Mytilus edulis: one gene and its partners. The protein of the gene in region 4 purifies or fractionates together with the protein of the main gene of each other region. This does not show direct contact. Links are inferred from orthologs where the notes say so. Each region holds a gene or a part of one and is shown on either strand. Other genes may lie near its edges. The genes, in order: dual specificity tyrosine-phosphorylation-regulated kinase 2-like, centrosomal protein of 78 kDa-like, transcription factor Sox-2-like and E3 ubiquitin-protein ligase UBR5-like.

Region 1 (7,446 bases), on a different chromosome or scaffold from region 4:
AATTACTGCATACATGTACAGGTATTATAGAAAGGGCAAAAAGATATAATTGAATCAAATGTATACATATCGGGATAACCCATTCAAAAGCTAACAATATAAAAGGTGTTTAACAATGCCAAATATTTCACTGCATTTTATTATTTTGCCTGTCGTCATTTGAGGAAATACCTAGAATAGTATATCTGGGGGAAAATTTAAGCTCATTCTTTTCAAAAAATCACATTTCAAAGTTTCCTGGGTCAGGTTGACAATACTTAGTTATTATGGTTATGATTACACCAACATATTATAAAATAAAAATACAAAATAGGTTCAATTAAGACAGTGGTGTTTAGTTACACAATGACAATACTTGTTTTGTTTGTAATTTAAATTTTCTCTATGCATGTAGTGACAACAACATTTCTTTTATTCAGGAAGTTGAAGAATTATTTGGGTGTTTCTTTTTCACCAAATACATGTTGATCACCTCAATACATTTCATCATAATCCAAAATATTTTTATAAAATGAGATATTAAAAGAAAAATAAGAGCCTTATAACACTCTGAGACAAGACATTCAAAAATAAATTATTAATTATCAAAGTAGCACTCACAGTACACATCACATGGTTTCAAATAAATACAGCCTCCAGTCAAAATGTTAAAATAACAATGCTGATCACAGAAAGGCTTATATTGAATAAAAACTCCTGGATTTTTCTGATGAAGCACATCTCTCGACACTATCCAAAGACTCAACAAGTAAAAGAAACTGTTTCAGTTACTATATATCATTTTCATGCACACACACGATTATATCTACGGACATAAATACTCCAGACTTGTTCAGTTATACTAGTGCATATAATATACTTGAAGACTTTCAACCTTGAACAGAATTTGGCTTTCCAGAATATAAAGTGAATCACACAATCATTTATTACTGAACATCAGGCAATAAATTTAGGGTGCATGATGATCTGTTAAAACACTAGATCAAGAAATTTTGGACGGCAATTCACAAAATTTGCATCACAATACTTGTAAACGATAATCTCTACGTTGTTGATCCTATTTGTGGCAGTTTTGTTCGTGGGGGCATCGGAGCCGACATTTCATCATAAGTTACTGGGTTTCGCCCTTTGCTACTTGAATTTCCACTTTGTGGCCCTTTTGAAATTATTACACTTGCAGTATTAGCTGTTGATGTCTTCCTTCGTGAAGCAGAGTCGGTTCTTACTTCATTTGGTGGTGGTTTTGGCAACCTTCGTCTCAACCACGGATGTCGCAATGCCTGACCTGGGGTCATTCGGGTTGATGGATCCCAATCTAAACATCTCTTCATAAAATCCGAAAACAACGGATCTTCACATCCTTTCAATGCAGTTACCAGATCTTTACTATTTGGTGGACCTCTAGGTTTTCCCCTTCTTGACCGTCCACCATTCAGTACAGTGCTGCCATCAGGTAATGTTGTAACTGTACAGTATCTTGGATAACCTTTTGAACTGATAAAATTACGTGCTCTCTTTGACTGATCCAATAACTTTTGGGGTGGCATGCCATTCAATTCAACAATGCAAGCTAATTGATCACCTTCATCTTCTCCTGGAAACATTGGATATCCAGTTAACAATTCTGCTAAGATACATCCTAAACTCCACATATCTATAGGCATTCCATACTTTGCACCAAGAATCACTTCAGGTGCTCTATAAAACCTAGACTGAATGTATGTGTATATACGTTGATGTTCATAACAACTTGAACCAAAGTCTATTACTTTAATTCCACTACGACCCTGTTGTTTCAAAAGAATGTTCTCTGGTTTAAGGTCACAATGAATGATTCTATTTTTGTACAATGCATCTAAACACTGCAAAATTGAGTGAGCAAACTTTCTAACGAGTTGTAAACTGAATCCCTGGAATTTATTTTTCTTAATGAGTTCATACAAGTTCATACTAAGTAATTCAAATGTAATACAAATGTGATTACGGAATGAAAAATGTTCTAACATATGAACTATGTTCATAGTATTGTCCTTGTCTTGCTTTTTAAGGTGCTCTAAAATTCTAATTTCTTCTTGTGCTTGTCGGTGAAAGCGTTTTTCATTACGAACCATTTTCAATGCAATGTGCTGAGCTACTTTATGATCATAAGCTTTTACTACTTGACCGAAGCTACCTTTTCCTATTACTTTTAATACTTCATACCGATATGCTATATGATCATGTGGCACATGAATATAGGAGCCTTGATCATCATCATAACCATTATTGTTTGCACCTCCTACAACACCTTGCCTTTTCTTTGCATTTTGTCCCACGAAAAAGACAGACGGAAAATTAAAGATTTCATGATGCTCAAAAGATGTCAATTTATGCATAAACTGTTTCATTGCCGATTCTGGACTCCATGCGGTGTTACGTCGCGCTGCGGAACCACCTTTGCTCCCAATACTTCCTGCACTTGAACTAGGACGTGCTACAACGTTGGAATCTTTAGATGAATCTCCTGTATGCTGTCCATGATGTTTTGAATGCGAGTGATGTTTGTGGTCTTCGTATAACTGCTGTACCTTCACGCCACTCGCTATGTGGGCACTATGGGCACCACCCCCTACAGTTTGACTTGTAAGGGGTGGTAAATGTTGGGCTGGATCTATTGTTGTTTGATGAGAATACATGTCGCCAGTGGTCAGCATAGACCTTGTTCTTTGAACCGAGAGTGGTTGAATTGGCAGGGGTTTGACTCGTGTCGACATTTTCCCCCCTCCTGATTGTTTATGACCCTGAGATTTTGCCTGGAGACCAATTTTGTCTTCATTTGTTAATCATTCAATGATCTCACCTCAAATTTGTTGTTTACATGGTCAATGAAATGTAGAATTACTGTCTGGCATCAAATTATATCCCAAAAACACATCTGTTGCTATTTTTTAAGACAGTATGGAGGATCGGTTGCCAAGCACGACCCAGTTGTGCAGTGTCTATGACGTCATGGAAACTGTGGTCACATGTGCACAGAAAAGAAATCAATACATTTTACTTGTAATTTTTACAAAACGAAACACACGAGTATATTGGATAAAACATTTTATATTAAAGGGGCACTAGCTGTCAAATTCATTGTAACCGATTTGACTCAAATTCTCATATTTGGTTTATAACAATGTAAAACATTTATCCAAACTATCAAAAGTCTAAAATAAACAGTTTACAGAGCATGGGGTAGATAATATATAGGTTCGTTTCGTGTGTATTTTAGTCCAGACGCCATCTAATTAACTATCGATTTGACCTCAGATGACCATATAAGCGATGTAAACAAAAATAAAGATACGAATAGATTAAACCAACACGTGCAATTGCATTTTTATAGGTCTGTTTGATTTTATTTTATAGATTAAAAATAGATGTTTCTCATTGTTTTTAACCATATAAGAATGAATTTATGTGCATCGAATTAGTAATCAAATGATTTACCGTAGTTTCACTTTCATTGTTGACATTCTTTTTCTTTAAATAACCAGTACACGTACAATGCATGCGTTGTCAATCTCTAGCTAGGGGTTAACTTGAAGTTCACATGAATACCGGTTAGAATGATGATGACGTTTTCACTTGCAAGTGAATCAGTCAAAAATTATGTGTAATCGCTTATTTCAACAAAATTAAAGGAAATTGATTGCTAAAAGCAAATTATTATTTCATTATTCCAATTTGATTAATGATTGATCTAAAAAAAATCATACTTTATTTTTTTATATATATCGTAGCTAGTGCCCCTTTAATATCAAATGAAATATTAATGAACATATTAGGAACATATATATTAAAAAAACTGTTCACAGAATATATATAAAAAAATATATCATTGGTAGCCACTTCTAAGGCTACTTGAATAATTGTAAAAATCATATATAAATTCTGTACTGTAAAAAAAGTAAAACCCTGACGGATTAAAATGCAAACATAATATACAAAAGAGTCAACAAATATACAATTTAACAAATAAATAAAACTGGCACCGTGATACTATATTGTACATTTGCGAAATATTTTGTATAATCAAATCAATCAAATCAAATATTTGTCGTATAAACTTTACAGTTTGTGACCAACATATAATAACACAATAAACATACATATCAAACATATAATGATATAAGTATTTGTGAAAATCAAAGTGACTATTCCCAGACTGAAATAACTGCATTTGTGATAAAAGCACGTGGATAAAAGTTTCATATCATATTATGCCAAAAAATCGAAATATATAAATTCGCTGAACTAGTAGTCCCAGCTTAATCATTGCATTTTTTTGTAATATTATATAGGCCTAGACATGATGGATATCAAGGGCGGATCAAGCCATTTTAAAAGGGGGTCCTAACAAAGGACAAAAAGGGGGGGGGGGTTTCAACTACATGTCCCCATTCAAATGCATTGATCGTCAAAAAAAGGGCGGTATATTTAAATATACAATTCCTTGGTATAAGGGTAGACCATCCAATGAATGCTTCAGATCAGGAATACGCAACAGACATGATTAATTAAAACAAGACCGTTATAGCTTGTTGTCCAGGGTGAGCCAAGGCTCCGTGTTGAAGGTCGTACATTGACCTATAATGGTTTACTTTTTTAAATCGTTATTTGGATGGAGAGTTGTCTCATTGGCACTCACACCACATCTTCCTAAGTATATCTATATAATTCATCCAAATAACACAAACAAAACGTGGAATTACTAGTATTCAATAGTTGTTCCTACTATCTTTTACTCGAACAGTCAACAACAAAAATCAGCTAATCAAATACCAACACAATTGGTACAATAAAATATAAACATCTGCCACAGTTGCAACACAGAGCAAATCTAGAAGCCACAATTAAGCAACATTAGAAATAAACCAAGCATTAAATTCTACTACAATCACCTAATAGATTAATCAGATTAAATGACAAACGACCTTCTCTAATATATCTTCAGTCGTCAGGAAAGAACACCATAGAAAGCTATATATGTAGTACACAACAACGTGGGACGAGAAATCAACCACAACCATGCAAATTAGGCTTCTACAAAGTGGTAAGACCAAAAACTCAAACCAGGCAATGGAAAACAACTGTCATATTCCTTGGTACAGGCATTTCCTTATATATAGTAAATGTTGGATTCAACCTTGTTTTATGGCTAGCTAAACCTCTCACTTTGTAAAAAAAATCATCAACTCTGATTTGGTTACAATACAAAACATCGGCAGACATCCAATTCTTTATTAGATATAAAGGAGCGAATAACTTCTATTTGAGGTTAATTGACGATTTCATTCGGAGCCGGCAAAATAGCCACTGCCTACATTTAATCGTTTGAATATCATATTTTTTAGGAAGATTTTGTTCTAATTAAGTATTGATGTCCTCGATATTTGCGTCTGCAATCATGACATGTATTTATAAAACAGGTAAATATGGTCTTCAGGGGCAATAACGTCTAGACGGAATCTGTTGACAATTTCGATAATCTTGGCTTATTTGTAGATCTTTATATCGTGCTTAAGATCTTGCTCTATCTGTAATGTTTTTTTTGTAAAAAATGAAAAATGAACAACTTTCAAGGTCAACAACTCCTATAAGCAATCAATTGACGATTCTTCCATGTTGACTAATTTGAAGATCCTATTTTGTTAAAATTCTCTCTCTTAACTATAGTTACCAAAATAATGCAAAATGTTAAAAATCATCATGTATAGGTAATTATTCTTTTAAAGGGTAATTTGAAGATATCTGCTAACTTAAAGTCAAATAACTTGTAGATCTAATTATTCTGGTCACATAGTCATTCGTCCTTTAAAAGTTCTCTATATATACATGTTGTCAATATAAAAACCAATTAAATAGTTGACACAGCATAGGTTTCTGACACAGAATGAATGTGGTCTAATGAACTTAAAATATTTTTTTTGCCTTTGAGCAATTCACTATGCTGTTGAATATTAATCCTCTCAAAAAAATGTTTGAAGAAATTTTCTTTTTATTTATGAAATCTGAAATGAGAAAAATTTAACCCCCCCCTTTTTTTTTCACATCCCCGTTTCCCTTTTTCCAAAACTGATATCAATTCCAATTTCTAATGGAGTTTGCAACAATAACTACTCTTTTAAATACATCATAAAATATTAAAATGTAAAATAAAGTGCTTGTTATCACTGAATGGTAAAGATTGGTTGGTAGTAAAAGTGAATATACATTGTTTATTGTATAAAACAATAAAAAAAACTTCATCAGCAACATTTTATATTGGCAAATTTCCAATGAAGTTATTTACATAAAGTTATTGGCAAATAAAAATAGAAAATGACATCATAGTCATGTCTGGCAAATGTCCAACATACATTATCTAAAAACATTTTAGATAAGATAAGGAAAAAAAGCTTCATCAGCAACATTTTATATTGGCAAATTTCCAATGAAGTTATTTACATAAAGTTATTGGCAAATAAAAATAGAAAATGACATCATAGTCATGTCTGGCAAATTTCCAACATATATTATCAACTTCTATTCTATACAAAGAAAGATAACTCCAATTGAAAATTAATTGCTATTGCACAATATTGTGCAATTAGATATTTCTTGCTATTGTGCAATACTTGATATGGAATCCTGATTTGGACCAACTTGAAAACTGGGCCCATAATCAAAAATCAAAGTACATATTTAGATAAAGCATATCAAATAAGTCCAAGAATTTAATTTTTGTTAAAATCAAACTTAGTTTAATTTGGACCCTTTGGACCTTAATGTAGACCATTTGAAAACTGGACCAAAAATTAAGAATCTACATACACAGTTAGATTTGGCATATCAAAGAACCCATTTATTCAATTTTTGATGAACAAAGTTTAATTTTGGACCCCCATTTGGACCAACTTGAAAACTAGGCCAATAATTAAAAATCTAAGTACATTTCTAAATTCAGCATATCAAACAACCCCCAGGATTCAATTTTTGTTAAAATCAAACTAAGTTTAATTTTGGACCCTTTGGACCTTAATGTAGACCAATTTGAAAACGGGACCAAAAATTAAGAATCTGCATACACAGTTAGATTCGGCATACCAAAGAACCCCAATTATTCAATTTTTGATGAAATCAAACAAAGTTTAATTTGGAACCTTTGGGCCCTTTATTCCTAAACTGTAGGGACCAAAACTCCCAAAATCAATACCAACCTTCCTTTTATGGTCATAAACCTTGTGTTTAAATTTCATAGATTTCTATTTACTTAAACTAAAGTTATTGTGCGAAAACCAAGAATAATGCTTATTTGGGCCCTTTTTTTGCCCCTAATTCCTAAACTGTTGGAACCAAAACTCCCAAAATCAATCCCAACCTATCTTTTGTGGTCATAAACCTTGTGTCAAAATTTCATAGATTTCTATTAACTTAAAC
Region 2 (7,417 bases), on a different chromosome or scaffold from region 4:
TCATTCTGCTGGTTCTTCTTTAGTCACCTAAAATAGAAATGAGAAATCTTATTACTGATAGAAATATTTTGTGAACATTTATTTAAAGTATTTCTTATACTTTTTTTAACACTGAATTCACTATAATATTCTTCAAACAATTTACCAAAGAAAGAGTTATTTCCCTTATGTTCTGTAGAGTTATTTCCCTTCTCTCCAGAAGGGTTATCTCCCTTATGTCCTGAAGAGTTATCTCCCTTATGTTCTGTAGAGTTATTTCCCTTCTCTCCTGAAGGGTTATCTCCCTTATGTCCTGAAGAGTTATTTCCCTTATGTTCTGTAGAGTTATTTCCCTTCTCTCCAGAAGGGTTATCTCCCTTATGTCCTGAAGAGTTATCTCCCTTATGTTCTGTAGAGTTATTTTCCTTCTCTCACTTTACCAAATGGAGACAACTCTCCTTTTTTTTCTCTCTCTACTATGGATTTATTTTTTGACAGAGAAGCTTTATAAGGGAAAAAACAACAGCAAAACTTGGCACATCAAACATCAAGGATGGCTTAAATTCATGATTCAGTGAAATGTGTCTCACTTTTCAAACATGGGAAAAGCTATTTTCCTAGTAAAGAGATTTGAAATTATAAGCTACCTCCAAACAAAACCATTAAGTTTGTCAAGAAATATTTATTTTTTTCGCAAATAGATCAGAGTGACATATACATGTACATATATTCCTTGTATCAAACAAGATCAATTATGAAATATTTACCATTAAACATATATACATGTATTAATAATCTATTCAAAAGATGCATATTAAACAACTGAACAGAAATAGGGACCGGTTGGTAACAGTTGATAAAGGTAAGTGTTGTCGTAAACTCTCGATTTAAAAAAAAATTTAGAAACTTTATTGCAAACACTGGATGTACAAAAGACCTTATCGTTATGTGTCCTCCATTCCGTAAAATTCTAAGTCATAATAAAAAACATCTGACGCCACAATAGAAAAGTTATTGTTGTATGACGTCAATAGTTCAAGTGGAACTGATTTTTATGTCAATCAAGACAGATTTCCAAATACAGTAAAACCTGACTAAACCGAATCCTGTATAAACCGAAAACCTGTATAAACCAAACATGTTCATAAGCACCATCATATCAAATTATGTGCGCTGAAAACCTGATAAAACCGAACATCGGCCAAAACCGAAGAAAATCTTAAGTCCCAAAGAGGTTCGGTTTAAACAGGTTTCACTGTAGCTATAAGGTGTATACCAATGGTGCAATCAGGCTTTAAAATTGAGGACATTTTTCTGATGATTTTTAATGTGATTTTATGGACTGAAATAGCATGGGATGGGGGGCATATATATTGTATATAGCAATGTCGCTTTAAGTGGTACTCTTCCAGTTTATCATGCTGTCTCATGTAATTATTTTTATATTTTTTTATTCCTATGTACATGATGTAGTCATACCCATCAATGCAAAAAAATAAAATAGCCTTCCAAGACATAACTATTTAGACAAAAGATGTGGTAAACATATAAATGACATTGTCAATAAACCTGTCAAGCTATAGACTATAAATGAGGGGGGTAGGAGGGGTCTTGATCCGGAAATCCTGAATTTAAATAAATTTAAACATGTTAAATCCTGACATCCCGAATTTCGAAAAAAGAATTCCTTAATGTTGAAAGGGGTCAATCTCAAAAACCTGAGCTTAAAAACACCTGATCACGAAATTCCTGATAAAGGTCCTATCCCCATGAATCTGGGTCCATTCGCGCCCATTCACGTTCGCCCCCTTTCACTTTCGCTCCCTACACGTTCGCGCTCAATTTCTATTGGTTTTGTGTTTAATAACTTTGTAATCAAGTTTTGGCAAGTGTATTCCTATGAGTATATTTGTTGTCATTGTCCTAAATTAAAGTGAGACATGTTTTTTTGTGTTGAATAAATCTTAATCTTGTTTTGGTTAAGTGTATTGCTAACTTTTATTTCATTGTTTCAAAATAAAGAGTGACTATAACAACATAAAATTGAGAAAGGAAATGTGGAATGTGTCAAAGCGACAACAACCCGACCATAGAGCAGACAACAGCCGAAGGCCACCAATGGGTCTTCAATGTAGCGAGAATTCCAGCACCCGTAGGTGTCCTTCAGCTGGCCCCTAAAAATATGTATACTAGTACAGTGATAATGGACGTCATACTAAACTCTGAATTATACACAAAAACAAAAATTAAAAATCATACAAGACTAACAAAGGCCACATATTTTTTTGTGTTGAATAAATTCTAATCATTTTTTGGTTAGTGCATTGCTATGATTTTTTGTTTCATTGTTTCAGATCAAAGGGGCCTATAAGCTGTTTAATAAAATCTTTTGTGTTTTTCATTTGAAATCTTCAATGTTTTTACTCATACCAAGCTAAATACATGCAGTATTTACATCAAATCAATTAAAAACAACAATCTTCATTTTCTAATTATTCAACTGGAATTTTATTGAAAATTGGGTACGAACGGACCTTGGGTGCAAACATGCGAGGTGCGAAAGTGTATTAGGCACAAACGAACCTGATACCTATCCCCCTCATAAATTATTTAGGGTTGTACATGTATGTTGTAAGCTTTTTAACATTTTGTATACTTCATGTACTTTAAAGAAAACTTTTGAATGCACACATATTATAATTTCTTTATAACTTTGTCTATTAGAGTATAAATACAAAGACAGTTACAAACATTGAAAAATTGCAAAATCAAAACAAAACATGCCGGTACTCGTCCCAGTTTTGCAAGATCTAACAGAACATTTCGGAGATTGACATGCTATGCGCCGATTTTAGCCATTTTACGATATTTTCAAAGTTGTTCCTCTGATATTTTATCACTAGACTTCGTGACAAGATAGATAATTTACCATTCATCACAAATAACAGAAGTTTTTCGCTTTCAAAATAAAAGGTTAGTGGCGCTGATTATTAGTTTACATCCCAGAATCCATTGTAACTTCCATAACCATCTGACGTCACTTCCGATAACAAGCACGTTCGTCTAGAAAATTCTCACAAAATCGAAAATAGATCTTTTGAGAAGGAAGTATCATTGCTAAAAGACTTAAAAGAAACGAAGAAACATAATTTAGTAGGTAAATTAAGCAAGAAATCTTTAGTGAAAGTTCCGTAGTGGTTGCTTTTTTTAGGCAGAATGACAAATTTGAAGAAAAGCTTGGTTTTTAGCAACAAAAAGGGGGGATGAAATATATTAGCTACCATTGTTCAAGATTTTAGTATGACACTAATAATCTATTATCAAAAGTCGAAGATTTAATCATGTTTTCATTCAGTTGCCAGTGTTAGTTGATGTATATTCTTACATACAAGTAGTCACACGCCCATCTGCCTGAAGCCTTTAGTTTATTCTTTGACTTTATCTACAAATACAATTCAATGTATGAATAAACCTTATCGTTATTTGTCCGCCTGTACTGGACATCACACATGTTCCCATAATATTTTGACGTCATAAATCAAAAGATCTGACGCCACAATGGAAAAGTCTTAGTGTATGATGCAAAAGTTTACGAAGCGGGACAGCTTTTCCGGTCAGCAATGGTCAGCCGGAAATAGCGAGAAGTTGTATACACTCACTATAGTACACCTTAGCGCTATTTGTCCCACATACCTAGTCATCACAAAGGTTCTCATAAATTTTTGACGTAACAATAGAATTTATCTAATGTTACAATGTAAAAGTGATTGTATGACGCCAATAGTTAAGGTAGCACAGATTCTTGCCATTCTTGGGTAAAGCAGCAAAGATTTCCAAATAGTGATAAGGTATATTGTTAAACTACATGTTGTAGACAAGTTTTGATGTAATTTTTAAGCAGTTAAGCTGCTTTATGCGAGCACCCTAGATTTATGTTCTACCCAATAAATGCTGAAATATGTGCCACTTTTATTATCTGACTGGCTATCATGTTATTTATAACTAATTGGACACTTTTTTCATACTTTTTATTTGGAATATAAAAAAATATTACCATAAAAACGTTAACTGGTCGTCGATTTTCCCAAAAGTTTTGAAGTTGCACATAGGAAGTAGTGCTCGATAAAATTCCTTCTATAGTTTATTATCCACTGTGCTGTTGGCTAAGATGTCAAAGATCAATTGTATGAAATATTTGATCGCCGAAAATCTATAAAGATGAGTCGTTTACATTTCCCATATGGCAAAAGTCGTAGGAATATTGTTGATCATCGATACGTATTTCATACGTCAGTAGTCTATTAATCAGCTGATATAAGTTGGCGGCAATTTCAAATTACATAGAAGACGAAATTTACGTACCTTTTAAAATTGGGAGAATTCTGATGAAACATAGGTACATCATTATTAATCATTTTATTCGTTTTTTTGTCTGAAATGATTGAGATTATTTAAATCGTCTTTATTCAGTAATCTTAAACGTATGCTCATTTGTTTTCTTGTTAATATTATTCCGATTTCTCGCAAATGACCTTCATGCTTGTCAAATTAAGTTATTGTTATTGTAGTTTTCTGATTGGTCGATGTCAAGGTCATTTTAAGATTGTTTCGCTTTTGTGAACAATGTAACATAATGCTACACGTGCTTTGATTAAGCTCAATATGTGCTTCAATAAATATTGTGATTAAAACTTTAACAATTGTTTTCTAAAGGACGGCATTATTTAACTTCAAAGTCGCATATTTTGTAAAATATTAAGTCCGAATCTGTGACGCGTATCACACCGTAATTGTTTTTAATTTACAAGGACTTTTCGATTTCCGGTACAGAAAAATACGACTTTTTTAAATGTTTTTTTTTTTTATAATTTTTCACATTTAAACACTCGTTAAGTGTTATTGAATCAATTCTATGCGGTTCCTTCAGCAACTTTATGCTGGCAAACGATTTCCCCATGAAAATAATATGAAAAGAAATCGCATGATACAATAAAAAGGTAACGACTAACGAGGCTCGAGAAATGTTTTAATATGTTTTCAACAAGTTGAAGTTACAAACAAGTTTTTCTTAATTCCTACTATTACAGTTATTGAAAGTTTAAATACATGTGTTTTTTTTATTATGATATTAGTAATGGAAGACAGTTAAACCGTAATCAAGATATATTTTAATTCAGTTATAATTTGAGACGTAAAAAAAATTGAGAGTGAACATGCAGTGTTCTCCCCAGGCCCTTAAAGGACCACGGGCCCGCGATGTATAATTTTCTACCGCGGTGGTATCGTTCTTGCCGCGATGTATAAATTTTCTCCGTGGTGCTAAAGTTTTCGGTAAAAAATTCGTATTAAAATCGGTAAAGTTTCAAATGACTTCAACTTTCAGTGAGGGTTAAAATTTTACATGAAAATTGACCAGTTCTAACCAGTTTAATCCAGTATTGATAGGTAGATTGTTTACACCACGTGATCGATTTACCTGTTGAGGTTAACATTGATGATTGGATTTAATCGATGTACATGATTCTCTTGTGTTTTAATTAATTAAGAGATCATAATTTTAATAACAGACTTGTAATAGGGGACAAGCAGACATTTGTGAATGAACTCTTTTACGCCAGTCTTTTAGTCAAAATAATTTGACTGTTATAGAAATTAATTGTGGAGTTATTTCCCCTGATTTTGCTTATTACAAATAAATGCTCCTCACATATAATTTCTCATTGAAAATTAAAATAAAGCACAAATTAAATGCAAAATTATATTAGAATGTTACATTAAGGATAAAAAAAATCTTAGAAGATACCAACGAAAATGTTTTGCAAATTATTTTAGAGAATGATACCTTTATTGATACACAGACATTTTGTAATTTTATATTAAATAGACTTTTACTTCACATGGGTCATTGATAAAAAAGCATCTTGTGCCTAAACTTCACAGGAATGTGAGTTTAGAATTACTAATACAATTGAAATTAAGTATTTATAAACTTAAACTTTTAAAATAATAACTAAGATGCATAAAAAAAATAAAAAAAACTGTTGTTAAAAAGAATGGAAAGTAGGTTTCAATTTACTGATGGTTCTGTAACAAAAATTAATCTTGTTCAAAGTTCATTGTTATGGTCAAATCTAACATGGGGAATGTGTAGTGTAACTTCAAGTATTGGGACAAAATGGCTTGATCCAAATATAAGAAGTAAGATATTAAAGTATAAAAACTGTTATATTGATTTACTTTTTCTACCAATAATGTTCTGACCCAAAGTCCATACAACACAGTACCACAGTAAACAAAACAAAGGCAAAAAGGTAATGACAAAAACCAACAAGAAAAAAATAAGCGACGCAACGCGACTCAAAATATTGTAAAATTCATTTCGTCACGCGTTACCCTGGTGCTATCCAAAAATCCTGGGGAGAACACTGAACATGGTGAAAATGGGGAATGTGTCATAGAGACAATAACCAGATCTTAGAGCAGACAACAGTCGAAGGTTACCAATGGATCTTTACTGCAGGGAGAAACTCCAACACCCAAAGGATTGCTTTTGCTGGCCCCTTAACGTAATAACAAAAATGTAAACTATTTGAACTAGTCACTTGTTCCGGTGGAACTTTTTAAACCAGAGGAAGAACAAAGTAACTACAATGTAGTTAATAAGTTCCGGAGAACTTTTCGGCTAGCTAGTTCTTTCCGCCTGGAACTTTCCAACCTCGCAACAAAAGAGCATTTACAATAACTTGGTCATCATACTAAAATCAGATGTATACACAAGAAATTAATAAAATTAAAAAAAATGTACAAAACAATTATGAAAAATAAATATGATATACAGCTACAATCACCACACTAGTCACTGGGTCCTCACTATGGACAGGTACATACAGAATGTGGCGGCTTAAACATCTTAACTGGCACAAACCTCTCCCCTAACATAGGACAGTGTATGTGTATAATCTCAGACATTGAATCTTTATAAATATAAATTGGAAATAACTTTTGAAAGTGGTAGGATTGCATAACATAAACATTACTGTACAAGCATTATTTGGTACTTTAGAAATAGCTGAGAACAATGCCTGAGATAAATATTTTGACTAATTCTTTACACTATTCATCTGAACGTGGCCAAGTTTGCCGTTGGGTTTTTGATTAACTGCCTATAGCACCCTTTGGTGCTTTGATTTAATGAACAGTCTGCACCCAAAACTTTTTCATCTACTAGTCCGGACACTAAATATCAAAACTTGTCCCTATAAGACTATAGAAAATTTTCACCAGTCCGAATTAATATTTACTAGACTGGGGCATCGGACTAGTGGCTAACGGTGCAGACTGAATGAACTACCCTGGTTGACCTGGGTTGATTTGTAGAAAGCACATCTAAAAAAAATATTCTGTGAAGATACATGTATATGCTTTGAGATGCTATTTA
Region 3 (7,593 bases), on a different chromosome or scaffold from region 4:
AACTAAGTAGTTTGGTTTAGTTCAAACAAAATCATTTTACCATATAAACCTAGAGCCACATAAAGTTGAAATATATTTAAAAATTAAATTTTAAACATAAAAATATATACGGAACATTACCACGATTTAATACATAAACAAAACAAAATCTAATCATACTTACAAACCTACTTCAAGAAAATTGAATTTACCGTGAGCAAATATATATATGTGTGGAAAATTTCCCTAAATTTGTTTGGCGAATTTCGAATCCGACTTATTATGCTAAATATATTCTACAAAATTATCTCGTTTCAACAGTTCGTGTATAAATAAGTTGTTCACTTCTGTAATGATTGTAATAAAATTATATAGATCTATTTTCAATAATTTCAGCACATTTTTTTTGCAAAATTCGCACCATATAACTCAAATAAACATTCACACACGCACGCGCTCGTCTCATTCGATTTGTCTGCTTTTCAAACATGCTATACAGTCTTACAAATGTCATGGATTTCGACGTTCATTCATTCAACAATGTAAAAATGATAAACAATATATATATAATGGGAAATATAATGTTTTCTCTCGCAGCACAAATTTGTAAAACAAATTAAAAAAACAGAAAATATTACATATGTGTCAGTGGCACAGTGTTATTTACCCCTGCAGCTTCCGATGACGCCGTTTGCTGATAATGTTGTTGCATAAGTCTATGGTGAGCAGCGGCACTATTTGGATCGTTGGCATCTCCCGGTAAATACATACTAATCATTTCCCGTAAATCTCCTGCTTGACGGGGTTGTCCTGGAACTTGTGGTTGATTTGGTTCCCTTTTTACGGACGGAGGAACCTGTGATGGAGACATAGAATACGGATTCATTCCTACGGACATTGTGTAGTTTGAGGTCCCATTCATATATGATGCGGATGTCATCTGATTAGCAGACATTTGTTGAGCTGGAATAGAATAATTGCCATACTGAGCTAGTCCCATTTGATTTGCCATATGATAGGCATTTGGATCGTGCATCATGTTCATAGGATATCCATTCGGCATATATCCATTCATTCCGGGATACATTCTGTTTGGATCAGACTGCAGCTGTCCTCCACTGCCGGGCATACCGGGTAAAGCGTACTTGTCTTTCTTCATGAGGGTCTTTGTTTTCCTGCGCGGTCTGTACTTGTAATCAGGATGATCCTTCATGTGAATTGCTCGAAGACGTTTAGCTTCATCTATGAACGGACGCTTTTCGGATTCGGATAACAATTTCCATTCAGCACCAAGTCTCTTACTAATTTCAGAATTATGCATTTTAGGATTTTCCTGGGCCATTTTCCTTCGCTGACCACGAGACCACACCATAAAAGCGTTCATGGGCCTTTTCACACGATCGTCAGCTTTCTTGTTACCAAGACCATTGTTGTTATTGTTGTGTTGTCCATTCATGTCCGGAGATGGAGGAGAATGTACTTGTTGTTGCGATGGATGTTGATGCATGTTCATACCTCCAGTAACTGGCACATGCATTCCTTGTGATGCTGGTGGTAAAGTTGTAGTTGGTCCCTGTTTAGATAAGTCACTATCCATACTATAAAATTTGAACAGTGTTCCACGTGCTTTATACAAGTCCAATACACTGATTATAATAACTGAAGATAGTCAATAGCTTTTGAATAAGTTCAAGTCCAATAAATGATAAATCTCAATACGGCTTTCACTACCAAACTATAAAACAGGTCTTATAATTTCGACTTCTTCTTATTCTTTTGGCTAATACGGTTTACTAAACAAGGGATATCGATTCGTCAGTGAAAAATAGACACTGCCCCGTCCAATCAAATTAGTTCTTTCTTGGTTTTGGCGAGTTATTCACGGTAATATTAAAAAGTGGGCGGGACTTCGCAGGTAAAGTTTATTGTCGTATCCAAACAATTGAGTGAATTCAATCATGTTGAGAATCGCTCATGTCGTGAAAAGTGGGCATGGTCTAATATTGACATGCAGATGAAAAATTATCCGTTAGAATTTTTTTTACAGGTGTTGTTATTTTTATATTTCATTACATTTCAAAATATTTTAATAAATATAAAATTCAAGTTACTCATTAAAAAAATAATAAAATTTTGTGTAATGATTTGGGAATAATTGTATTTTTTCTAACGCATTTAAACGTGGACCTGAAATAGTACAACAGTCCAATCTCTGTCCAATGTCATTATATTAAAAAAAAATTCATAATGATAAAATAAATAATGAAAAGAGCCCTTTTTCTTCTAATTATAGTTTTATGGTTTCAAATTGAAAACCGAGATAAAAAGGGGGGCAGAGACTCTTTAATAAGAAATCTCACTTCAGTTGGCGATACAGACACTTTTATAGCAAGCAAGGACTAACAGCTTATCTGTCGATAATTAAAATTTCAGCAGTTAGTATTGATGTAAAAAAAAAAATCAGCATCTGATTATAAAATACTAATTTATTATGAAGAATCTAGATTTGAATTCTTATTGTATTTTGCGCCCTGATTGATAGAAAATAAACATCATCTTATTCTTACCCAGAAGCGTGTTGGAAGCTCTTGCGGACGGGTGGCGGAGAAGCATGTTATCTATACAGTATAAAATGAAAGACAATTAAACAGACTAGAAAAAAAAATAACAAATTTTAAAAAAAGAATTGCATTGAATTTGTTTTGTTATTTTGTTGTTTATTTAAATTTTCAGTGATATGGAGGCAAAACCAGCGTTGTAGATTTCAGAATAGAGCAGGCTATGTCGCAACAAGGCAGCACTTGCACCCGCAAAGTGGGAAGGGATTTATATAAGTTTCAATAACTTTTTCCCCAAACCACTATAAATTAATATGGTTAACTCAACCACCGTTGAATTAAGACAGTAGTGTAAATTTGATCCCCCCCCCCCAAAGTTTTGCAGAATCAAATCAGGTCCACTGTTTACGATAAACTTTTTTGAAAACATAAACAAACATCTTTTTTTTAATTTATTATCATTCACATTATTGTTTTATTATTATCATTATTATCTCTATTTTAGAACGAAGGGGACTTGCGCAGTATGTGCCATAAACCTCAGACCCCTAAATTTGTAAATTTGTTTCAAATCTGTAACTTAAAAATCTAACAAATGATATAAAAGACAGAAGCGATTCTACTAAAACGTAGATATTTTTTACCAGTACGGGAGAAACATTGACAAGTCTTATGTGTGTAGCATCTAACCAAAACAAAGCCATGCATGGCAGACTAAACCTAGGTTTTTATCATTTCTATAAGTAAATCTTTTAACATGTTGTTACATCTGTAACCACCATTCTAACATTATTGTATAATGTCCTGTATAATTCATAATGTAACAAACATCACAAACATCACAAACAGAAATGCTGCTATACGCGTGACTTTACATTTGTTAAAAACATCTCTGGTTTCTTTCCAAATTACGGCCAACTGACCTCTTTTTAAAAGATATAGTATTATCACTAAAAGCTGCAATTTTTCAAATTTCTACATGCAAAAAAAAATCTCTTACCTGCTTTTTAAATATTTTGTAACAGATTTCTCTTTCTTTGGAATTGTTCTATTCATTTAAAGACGGTAACGGTAAATTTGTTTACTGCTTTTATAAACAGCGTGTTTAATTGCCCGCAAATATAAATATCATTCGATGTATACAAAAGTAACTCTTTATATAAGAGTAAAAGGGATAAAGTATTTATTTCTTTTGATATACATTTGTATACATGTTATAAAAGGTTTCAATTACATTTTTGTATTGTATTTTATATCTATAGTATTGAGAAAGGCAAACAATAGAACATTGAATGGCCATTGTAATTTGGTCAAAAGAGGAATCAAAAACGTCTAGTTCTACTCTGACCTTGGCCGTGAGGACAATGATACAATTAAAAATTAAGGAATTGACCCACATTTAAAAATATAAACATTTACACGGGCTTTTTACCTTAGTTTAGGACGTGTGTGTTATGATCTACTTGTTGAAATGCGTACCAGCTTTGATCTTAATTGTTTGCAATAAGAGTACCACATATATTCAGATAAAACATACGAAAATGAAATGTTTGCAATAAGAGTACCACATATATTGTGGTAAAACATAACAAAAATGAAATGTTTGCAATAAGAGTTCCGCATATATTGGGGTAAAACTTAACAAAAATGAAATATTTGCAATAACAGTTCCGCATATATTGTGGTAAAACATAACAAAAATGTAATGTTTGCAATAAGAGTTCCGTATATATTGTGGTAAAACATAACAAAAAAGAAATGTTTGCAATAAGAGTTCTGCATATATTGGGGTAAACGTAACAAAAATGAAATATTTGCAATAAGAGTTCTGCATTTATAGGGGTAAACATAAGAAAATGAAACTTCAAAATATAATCCTAAAATATTTATCAAATATTATATTTTGACTTTATTTCTACTTTGTATTTGCTATATAAATAATTCAGCTGTATATGGTAAGTAAGAATAAGTTGAAACAAACATTTGCACGTGTTATAGAATAGTTTTATCAATAGTTTATGAAATTTACCCCCATCGCCAAGTAGAGAAAGCAGAGGATTAAGGGTTTTATCCTTTACATTGTTCTTAAATCCTAGGCATCGTGCGTTGTCAACGAGATATAAAGAAATGGGGGATCTAAACACAATGTTCGTTAATTACTTCGGTCAACTAAAAGTGAGTCAGCTGAGAAACTTTTCCTTTTCATATGTGAAAATTGAGATCAAAGAATCGGCAATAAGTATAAACTGTGTAATACATTCCACACCTGAAGAATTGGACCTTAATTTTAGTATTATAGGTAGTGTCAAATACAAGATTTTATTGTTTTTCGTGACAATCTTGGTATTTTTCATTAAATCAAAAACAATCTAAATTTAACAACATTTAAACAATCGTAAAGTTTTATTTTGGAATAATCATAAAAACAACTTTAATTTATTTTGATTTGTTAGAAAAGAGGTAAAATAAATAATAAAACACAACCGATCAGTTTTCATCTACTTTTGGTGTTGTTAAACCTGGAAATACTTGTATGTCATAAATTTGTAATAACAGAAAATACCAAATGATCATCATAATTTAACCTATACTGTAATTCTGTTTAAACGATATTTCATAATTCTTAAAACACTATGATTTTCCCAGAAGCAGTATTTTATTCATTTGTTCATTCTAAATGAGTTTTCCCTTAGTTTATCATCTAACCTATGTAGTTATTTGATTAGAGGCGGATGGTTTTTTCCAGTGACATGCATTATATGAATATGATACTTATTTAATTATTATCTAGACTATTCAATATCATTTAGATTAATTATATCAATTAAAATTCATACTTCTAACTTTTTCGTCCGTTTACTTCATTTTCCCCCTAAAATTCTCCTTATATATTAAAGAAGCACATTGTATTTGAATCAAAGAAGTTGTTTTTCTTCTGGTTTTGTTTTTTGTTTCTTGCTTCCTTTAGAAGCTTTAAAATTATTGCTATGGAGAGTGTGGAATTTATTTAAATATTACTGCGACATATTATTTTCTAATCGTGTAATATGAAGGTACAATGTGAATCGTGTATATTGAGGATTAATATATGATCGGCCATATCAAAACAGTTCCATTTCTTTTTTGATTTTTAAGTTTGAATTTTATAAATTGGCGACATCTTGATGTATGTGCCAAGCCAAATAATCTTTATTTTCAGTGATAATCGCTTGACATCCTCGTTTTGTCATATAAACGGAAAGTGAAAATGGAATTATATATGACAATAGTAGAAAGCGGATGCGATTAATTGATTTAGTCTAATTAACGGGTACATCTCGGTAGGAACCCCCCGGAAAATTAAGGTAAAAAGTTCCTTCAATTATCAAATTAATGAATGACAGGAAACAAACAGGGTGAAAATTAATTGAATTCCAGGTCGTAGAGTATATGTCTATTTTCATAGGTGTGAGGTACAATTTAATTGGAAGTAGAAAAGAACTAAATTATCATTCACAACTAACGGCATTTTTTCTCTTTATTTTACACTATTTTTCTACCTTCCAGTGGTTCTCATATAAACAAGGTGACAAATCTGAGATTGGAATCTAATTAAGTTTTTCTGTTCAAACGATTGCTTGATTGTTCTGATAAAACAAAATGTACACCGAAAAGTTACATGACACGGGTCCGAGTTGTTTACATAATTATTAAACATCTGAAAATTATTGCCAAGAATCAAAAATTACTTCCAGAAAATAATACTCATATATAGTATAGACAGTTGTCGCGAATTAATTAAGATATGCTTAATTATTTCAAAATTGCCTCATATCTGGCAGACTTCTTTTTAATATAAATACAATATACATTCATTAACGAAAACTGATGTAAAACTTATAAAAATGTGTTTTTCTCTGTACCGGGTAATGCATTGCTCACGGGATTAAACATTTATATATATATATATATATATATACACAATTTGTAAAAAAAAAATATATACGAAAATGTCTTTTACAAATATTTTAAGTTTACAAAAATTAACGCAGTAAATATAGAATTCTTTCAATAACTGATAGCCCTATATTTTTTTTTATATATATAAATTTGCTCTATTTTGGTATGAGAGTACTAAATATAAATAGCTTATAAGATTTATACACAACCCTTAGATGGTGAACTTTTTTCAAATCACATATATTTTAAAGTGTGTATTATAAGTGTACTTTTTGATAGAATGATAACATTTTAACAAATGTATTGAAATGTAAGGTCTTATCTTCAACGAAAGTATCAAAATAGAAGAGTACTTTTGTATGTTCAAATTCAAAAATGGCTTATATTTAACAAATATTCTAGACAGAAAGAAGAAATTTAAACGCTTCTGTAATGACATGTACAAACATAGTTAAGTATTTTTCCAAATAGATACAAAGCAAAGCAGTCGTCCGTGAAATACTACGTAAAAGGTTAAGCCAGCAAATTTATCGTCGCCATCTTGGATCAACAAAATAAACTAAAGTTTTGAACATTCTTAAATTTAATTTTCAACATCTCTAGGGTAATTATAAACCAAATGCATCATATCGCTTTACTGATGTCCACTATATGCATGAAAGTGATTATTTTATACGGAAATTCTGGGACTTGTTTCCTGATGTAAACACGGTTGCTCTTATGCAAGCTTCACTCTCATGGCATAGTAAATTCTACCGTGTTAAAAAAAAATCAAAAAAATAAACTGATTAGTTCTAGAGTATCAGTTTACATGCACACGGTGACAGTTTTTCTTGCAGCGTTGCGATTTATATCGAGACATGTACACCAATGTCAGATTTCACACCTGGTGCCAAGATGTAAAAAAACATACTCTAAGGCGAATGTCAGTTTCTGATTGAGCTAATATCGATTTCAATCACGACAGGAAAAGTAAACATCTAATTATAAAACTTACCAAGAGTTCAAATCATTAAATTTTCCTCATTCTCCATTTTAACATTAGATTTTATAAAAGCATATCACATTTTATCTTTTGTATCCTAAAACAAACAAACAGTATTTCCTATAATTAAAA
Region 4 (7,541 bases):
TTTAGCGTTGTGCTTCTGAGTTTGTCTAAAATTTTTATATCTTGACATTGTGTGTATATATCAGCCCTCAAAGTAGCCTCTAAAATGAAGTTGCCAACTGGCCACCAGACATGAAAATTTAGTGGCCAACTCAAACATAGTCAAAACTTCAGTGGCCAGGAAATAATTTCAAGTTGCCTACAATTTTTTCTATTTACACAAAAACAGGCTTGTAAATTAAAAGTATTACGTTTTTTTGCTGTCTAGTGTAGAAAATTGTTTGTATAAATCCACCGTAAAATAACCACATGATTTATTTAATTTTATATTTGTTGTACATGTTTTAAATCAGTCTGCGATGTTAACCAGTAGTTTGAAGCCCCAGACTAGTAAAAATCTCATCAGACTTGTGCAGAAGCACTTGTGATTGCCCCATCAGTCAAGTGAACATCTGAAATCGTTTTGTAGTTGTAGCCAGTATTTTATTGACTCTATAAGGACAAATTACAAAATTGTCGCCGACATTGTTTACATTAGTTTACTGACGAAATTAAGAACGAGGCTCTACCATGTGCTTTCAATTAACACAATCTATAAATTCCAAGGGTTTTCTTTCAAATGGTATGCAATAGTCAAACTTGTGACTGAGTGCGGAAATATGAAGATAGATAGATCTGTGCCATATTCAGTCGACAACAAATTGCTACCAAATGAACTACAATTACCTGATGCAATTAAGCGCTGACAAGATCAAGCTTAAATCTAAAAGGCTCTTGAAATATAGTATTCATTTGTGTTACTGTCTAGCGCTCAGACTATTTTTTAAAAAACCAGCTCTGATCAGGGCAAAATTTCCGAAAAATTTAAGGTCGCCAGATTTTCAATATTCTAATACTAAGCCTAAATGGTGACCAGTTATGAATTTTTTTTATCACCAATCAGCTTTTAAAGCCGCCCAGGCAACCATTTCAGTAGACTAAATTGAGGGCTGTACATGTAGTAAATACTACTGGTGGAAACATATGGGGACTAAGCAAAGCATAAATAAACAATTCCCACAAACATGACCATGATTACTTTTCCTTCTACTTTGTAGTGACAACCTTCAACACTTTGAATTTTATGTTACTCAGGCCTCTACAATAACTTTTTTTTCAACTTGTCCAGTAGGACAAGTACATACCAAAACTTTTACTTGTCCGAATGAAATTGTAACTTGTCCAAAAAAAAATCTTAATATTAAATAACCTTTTTTGCATTTCAAGTTGATTCAAGGAACAAAATGAATTAAAAAAAAATTGAACAGAATTTGATTTTTATCCTTTGAAATACTTTTAAAAGATATGAGCCATGAACAACTGAATTTAGGTGTGTCACACGACTTAGGTTCTAGCTTTTATCAATGCTAAAGTCTCATCATACTTTGCACATGAGGCACCATCTGATTGGCCTCTAAATGTACACTCATTGGATTTTTATCCTATTTTTTTAAAAGTTGAAAAAAGTTTATTCAAATGCAATCAATAAAAAGAATTTGAGGTATGATTGTCAATGAGACAAAAGACCAAATGACACAGAAATTAACAACTATAGGTCACTGCATTGCAAGTATTGTTTTTTCTACATAAAGATCAAACATGATTTGATGATTTTTATGGTAAATAATAAATTTCCTCATTCTTATTTAAAAAATACGGTATGGACATTGGTATATATTATTATAAAGCAACAAAATAAGGTAGGAAAAGAGGTTCTGATTTGTCTTGGTCCAGAAATGTCTACTGCCTCGCCAAACTGTCTATTAATCATGTCTATGAAATATGTCTCCTACCGTACCCAACTGTCTATTAAACTTGGAGCCGAATCATTTCAGAGCTGGTGACGAACTGTTTTTTAAAGTTACCTTATCTCTGTATCTAAAAAGCGCATGGTTGAATGGGATGGTAAGACTGGTTTCCGAGAAAAGTGTGCTTTTTACCTGTTAAAAGTACTTGACAAAGAACCAGTTTTAAATTATCGATTGCAAGTCTGAGTCTTGAGAAATAGAAAGTTTCAATTAGTTTCAGTTTAAAAAGGAAAGATGTCAAACAAATCTTCTTTTCTTGTTTTTTTTGTTAATAATTATACTTTGTTCATCAAAGTTGATTTATTTTCTGCAGAATGATTCTACTTGTCCCATCGGACAAGCTTGGTATAGCTTTTACTTGTCCGACCTTTTTTACCTCTGGTACCGGACAATTGGCATGCATTATTGTCGAGGCCTGTTACTTGAAATTGATTGAATAAGCATAATTGGTAAATTGCCAAATTTATTTACACAAATTAAACCATATTTAGTTTGAAATCAATTCAGCAGTATGAAGTATGAAATAATTGGGATAATTTGCAAGAAAAAAAATAAATAAAAAAATTGGAGCTCTGACATAAAATTTAAAAACTAAAAAAGACAAAGAACAATGATGAAAGAATTCCAGAAGTCATGGTGATGAGAAACAGCTTATGTCAGGTTCAAATATTGATTTCATTTTTGTTGTTGCTTTTTGTATAAATTTTTAACCATTTATTTGAGAAATATATTAAAATTCTTCATGTCTACAAAAAGAGCATATACATGTAGGTCACATTTGTCACATCAGCCCAATCATAAACGATTAATACATTTAATGAAACAAAACATTTGGCTTGTGTTAAATAATTTCAGGGCACATAAGGCATTAATCTAACAGTTGCAATTGATTTCGATGCGTAATTTACAGTGACGTCAGAATACCGTAACGCGATAAAGAGCACGTTTATTAAATATTTGATCGTTTCTTTTATCTCGAAGTACCACAGCCCAAGTACGAATAAATCAATTACCTATCGTTCAACTGGTCATCTGTTCCAGGTAAAGGATGGACTATACAATGAATGGATGTCATCACGTATTAAAAATATAAATTATTATCTTTTTACTGGAAATTTTATGAAATTTATTCCGATTTTAAAAGTTAATTGATCTTCGCCATCTTTGAAGAAATTTCCATAAGTCAATTGTTACCTGAAATACGATTGGTTAAAACATATTTACTGTCATTGGTTCCGATTGGGTAGTATTTTTATAGTTTTTCGGCATTCAAACTTTCGGATTTGTACTTAATACTAGGGCTGAAAGTTAGAGGTTATTCCGATAACATTGTAAGTAACAGGTGCTTTCAGTTTCAGTTTACTGCATATTATTTCATAACTCATGTTACATATGTTTTTTGTTATTTACAAACAAATCATAACACAGGGACCTGATTAACATTTTCAAATTCCACTTCTTTTCTTCAAATGAAAAAAATCTTGCAAGAAAGTTGATAAATAGTGGACATATGCTGTTGTTGTTCGTCATTAAGGTTCATCATAACAAACAAACAAATATGGCTGTATTTACATGCCAAAAATTACTCTGAGTACAGACTTACCTGTGAAGTTGGAAAAGTTTTAATGCCTGGCATCCACTAGATATAATAAAGTTAAATGCATTTTGTGTTTCAGAAAGATAAAATCTCTTTTGGATTTTGATGGGCATTTTTTTTCCTTCATGCAAAAGGTGTGAAAATTAACTAAGTTGTAGTACAACTATGAGATGCTCCCTCAGGTAAAAAAACCGGTTTGTATTGTTTGATTGTCCTTAATTGACATGGACTAGAGGTATCTTCACAACTATAGGTGAGTTAAAGAGTTTATCTGAGTCAGTCAGTGGACAGTATCAAAGTAATTCAGGTGTTTGTTTATTTTTACACCTTCTGCAGAAAGGAAAAAAAATGCCCATCAAAAACCAAGAAAGATTTTATCTTTCCTAAACACAAAATGCATTTAAGTTTTATATATCTAGTGGATGCTAGGCATTAAATCTTTCCAAACAGCACAGGTAAGTCTGTACACAGAGAAGTTTTTGAGGTGAAAATTCGGCCATATTTGTCCATTTGTTATGATGAACCTTAACATAATTTATAGACATGTCAAGCTGTCAAATGGTAAATCTGGCTAGATAAGTCTAACATACGTTTTTGTTTGACTGAAGAATTTGAATTTGAATTTCCATCGAATGCAGATCAGAAGAATAAATTCTGCATTGCAGAGAGTTGAGATCTGATTTTCAGAAGATACATGTTCATGATATAGTAGAAATACAATTTCAATAGGATATCTGTCTAATTGTATTGAGCTGCACATATTCCAGAATAAGCGTAACAATCTGGAGGAGATTATATACTGGGTACATAATCTTCATGTAGTTTCTATTGGAGGTTGTATTTTAAAAGCTGCATTTCTTTATTTGACATTTCTGACTGGCATGGGCATGATAGGGTATACATTAAAATCATCCTGAATATGCATAAAATATTTGCCACTGTATGTAAAGCAACAAACAATTAATCAATCAGTCTTTAAAATGTAATTTCTGATATGTTCAGCAGTTGCAAATAATCATCATGATCATGCTTACAGACTATAAAGTCTTATATACAGAATATACAGTCTTAGATGACTAATGATTACAATTTTTGTGAATGACTATACTTCAGGCATCATACCCTTTGTATGGGTAAATGATAAATAGAAAATTAAGTTTGTGTTGAAGCTTGGGGAAGATTCAGGATTTTTAAAGGAGAGGTTGAATAACAAAATTAGTTATATAAAATTAACCCAAACCTCAAATGTTTTTGATGATAATTCTTTATTAAAGTGTCGTATATATTGGCAGCTTTATTAGCTTGAGTCCATTGTTATCCTGTCCAATCATGGGTGTTTTTCTCAAAACAAAAAAATTTAAATTTGTATTCTAAGTAATGAAAAAGTGTCTGAAGGCTGGAATTAACATTGATATAAAAAAGTAAGAAGATATGGTATGATTACCAATGATTCTACTCTAAACATGAGTCCAATTGACACAGAAATTAACAACTAAATGACTCTCTACAACCTTCAAAAATTAGCAAAGCCCATACCACACAGTCAGAATAAACATGATAAAATAATTCACTCATGTCTAATTTATGTCATGTATGTACATGTAGGGAATAATGAATGAAAAACAAATGTGCTACACAGCAACAAATTCAACCATTGAGTTTCAGGCTCCTGACTTGAGACAGGCACACACTGGTTAATATAGTCTGATGGTTTGCTAGTCTATTTGCCAATAACTATAATTGATCCTGTAGTTAGAGATTAACTTTAGGAGGTAAATTCATTTTTAATGACAATGGGAAACTAGCCAATACCAATATCTTTATTCTCATAATCATTGCAGGGGGTCTCTTTGGGGGTTCCGATCCCGGATCCCGCTTACCGTTTTGTCCGATTCCTGTATCCAGCTTACACTATGTACGTAAGCAATTCTCATTTTTTTGTCATTTCCCGAGTCCTGCTAGACCTCATTTACCGTTTTCACGACACAATAATTTGACTTTCATGTGTCACGCTTACAAAAAATTGGCAATCCCGCGTCACGCTTAGACCCCAATGAGACCCACATTGCAGATACTTAGGTACAAAGAGGTAGCAAAAAGTTTATATTTAAATATAGAAATATAACTATATATATGTAATAACACATTAGGTCTCATACCCAGGGATGATTCCAGGTGTTTTCAAATGGGTCCCTTGAACATCAAATTGGGAATTTTTATTCTAATTGGGAATTTTTTAAGCATAAAATCTAAGACGAAATAACATTATTTTCCTGAAAAACAGAAAATGTATATTATTAAGTTTAACCTGTACACTGATGTTCATGTAAGTTGTAACATTTTTAATAATTCTGGTTGGGCTACTGTCACATGACTGTTATTACATAAATATCATTGAACATGATGCACTAGTCTATCATCTTAGCTATAGTTACCTAGGCCTATTACAAAAACATATATTTCAGCTAACATAAACCACTGAAAAAAATCATTCATCAGGTATTTTTTCAACAACAGGTCATCTCTATAAATTTACCTTAATTCAAATGGATTTCAAATTGAACTGGTCAATTGTCGAATTCAGAAAAGCAATTACAAAAGTTCATATACTTAATTGATAAGATATTTAAAGCATTGAACCAGTGTTCTTTAAAATTATTTGGATCATCTTCAAAACTTTTGAAATAGTTCAATAATGATGACATCATATTTCATGAATATTCTATCATCAACATTATTTTCAAAAAACGCTCAAACTGTGGTCTTTTGAGGAAATAATTTCTGTTACAAAACAAGTTTTCATCATATTATATAACCGGCTCTGCTGGGTGAACTGCTTTTACAAGATCGGCGTCCATTTAACCTTATCCATCAATGTTATATCAAAATTTGAATTTGCTCTCTGCCGAGGTCTGCTTTGACACCAATTTTTATCAACCTGCTGGGCGATCTGCTTTTACAAGATCCAAAAGTCCCATAACATATTAATCAATTGTATTCGGCTGCTAAAATTGTTTCCCACATGTTGACATACATGTAATTAAATCGTTGTTACTAAGATGCGATCGTAAACAGCATTCTTATCCGGATTTTAAAATGTTTTGACAACAAACTATATATAAAAAATTATAGTTGCCTTAATTGGTGACAGAAACTTTTCCTGAAATATCGATTTTTATTTTACTTTCCTGAATTGGGAATTCATTTTCATGTACATTTTTTTGGGGCCGCTAAGCCGCCCTAAACAATATAGTGGAATCATCCCTGATACCCAATCAAGATATTAAGCAATAACATGTATTGTCGTTTTACAGAAGTATGGAAAGTCATGATGGAAACCTTAGAAGTGACAGTTCATCAGAGAAAAGATCAATTCTACCTCCTGCAGAAGAAAGTCATGATGTCTGTCCAAGGCAATGGGCTTTGTCAAGGTTTCCAAAGAGATATATTGTGGCAATAATGGCATTCCTGGGCTTTTGTGAGTTAAATGTTGTAGTTAGATATGTTTTTATGCCCCTGCTATAGTGGAGGGGCATTAAGATTTACCCTTGTCCGTTTAAGCTTCTGTCCGTAGGTTCCAACGTTGGTTTCTGTTCTCTAACTTTTGTTTGCCTTAACCAAATGTTATATAAATTATACACAATGATTATTACTATTACAGACAGAATAAGTTCGAAATTTGAACTTTAACCTTTTTAGAGTTATGCCCCTTTTAATTTTAGGTAGTGACTGTACATTGTTTTAATATTATACATAGTGATGGTACAAACATGTATGTAATTTTGAAAAGTTTAAGCAAATGGTTTCTGCTTTATTTATTATTTATTAATTACTATAGCTACATGTACTTGTTTTAGCTTTCAGCAACAGATATTTCTTAATATTCATTCATGTCTATAAAAACAATGTGTCTTGAAAAAATATGCTTATGTTTCACAAATAACATAAAACATCCATAGACTGATTCATGTGTAATGGCATGGATTGCTCCCAGGCAAAAAATACTCTTTTATCAGTATGTTAATTTATATCTGAACATCTTATTTTCATAGATCATGTAATACATATATACCGGTGATAAAAGTAATCAAAACTATAAGGAAAGAAAATGCAGAACAA

Evidence for each region.
Region 1: the proteins of E3 ubiquitin-protein ligase UBR5-like (region 4) and dual specificity tyrosine-phosphorylation-regulated kinase 2-like purify together in Homo sapiens (affinity purification with western blotting; 3 studies listed by BioGRID and IntAct, with this or other methods). This does not show direct contact. The link is inferred for Mytilus edulis from reciprocal best matches to the Homo sapiens genes UBR5 and DYRK2.
Region 2: the proteins of E3 ubiquitin-protein ligase UBR5-like (region 4) and centrosomal protein of 78 kDa-like purify together in Homo sapiens (affinity purification with western blotting; 3 studies listed by BioGRID, with this or other methods). This does not show direct contact. The link is inferred for Mytilus edulis from reciprocal best matches to the Homo sapiens genes UBR5 and CEP78.
Region 3: the proteins of E3 ubiquitin-protein ligase UBR5-like (region 4) and transcription factor Sox-2-like purify together in Homo sapiens (affinity purification with western blotting; 3 studies listed by BioGRID and IntAct, with this or other methods). This does not show direct contact. The link is inferred for Mytilus edulis from reciprocal best matches to the Homo sapiens genes UBR5 and SOX2.

Annotation. Positions count from the first base shown.
Region 1 is NC_092344.1:83,552,026-83,559,471, forward strand, and holds the start of dual specificity tyrosine-phosphorylation-regulated kinase 2-like, read right to left. Parts: upstream 3,006-7,446; 5' UTR 2,754-3,005; coding exon 1,044-2,753; 3' UTR 1-1,043. UniProt on the Homo sapiens protein: Serine/threonine-protein kinase involved in the regulation of the mitotic cell cycle, cell proliferation, apoptosis, organization of the cytoskeleton and neurite outgrowth. Functions in part via its role in ubiquitin-dependent proteasomal protein degradation.
Region 2 is NC_092354.1:21,995,459-22,002,875, forward strand, and holds the start of centrosomal protein of 78 kDa-like, read right to left. Parts: upstream 3,022-7,417; 5' UTR 2,909-3,021; intron 28-2,908; 5' UTR 5-27; coding exon 1-4. UniProt on the Homo sapiens protein: Centriole wall protein that localizes to mature centrioles and regulates centriole and cilia biogenesis. Involved in centrosome duplication: required for efficient PLK4 centrosomal localization and PLK4-induced overduplication of centrioles.
Region 3 is NC_092346.1:79,535,559-79,543,151, reverse strand, and holds the start of transcription factor Sox-2-like, read right to left. Parts: upstream 3,020-7,593; 5' UTR 1,577-3,019; coding exon 614-1,576; 3' UTR 1-613. UniProt on the Homo sapiens protein: Transcription factor that forms a trimeric complex with OCT4 on DNA and controls the expression of a number of genes involved in embryonic development such as YES1, FGF4, UTF1 and ZFP206. Binds to the proximal enhancer region of NANOG.
Region 4 is NC_092355.1:19,654,595-19,662,135, forward strand, and holds the start of E3 ubiquitin-protein ligase UBR5-like, read right to left. Parts: upstream 3,022-7,541; 5' UTR 2,901-3,021; coding exon 2,839-2,900; intron 1-2,838. Other genes in the region: sialin-like, read left to right, coding at 6,741-6,900. UniProt on the Homo sapiens protein: E3 ubiquitin-protein ligase involved in different protein quality control pathways in the cytoplasm and nucleus. Mainly acts as a ubiquitin chain elongator that extends pre-ubiquitinated substrates.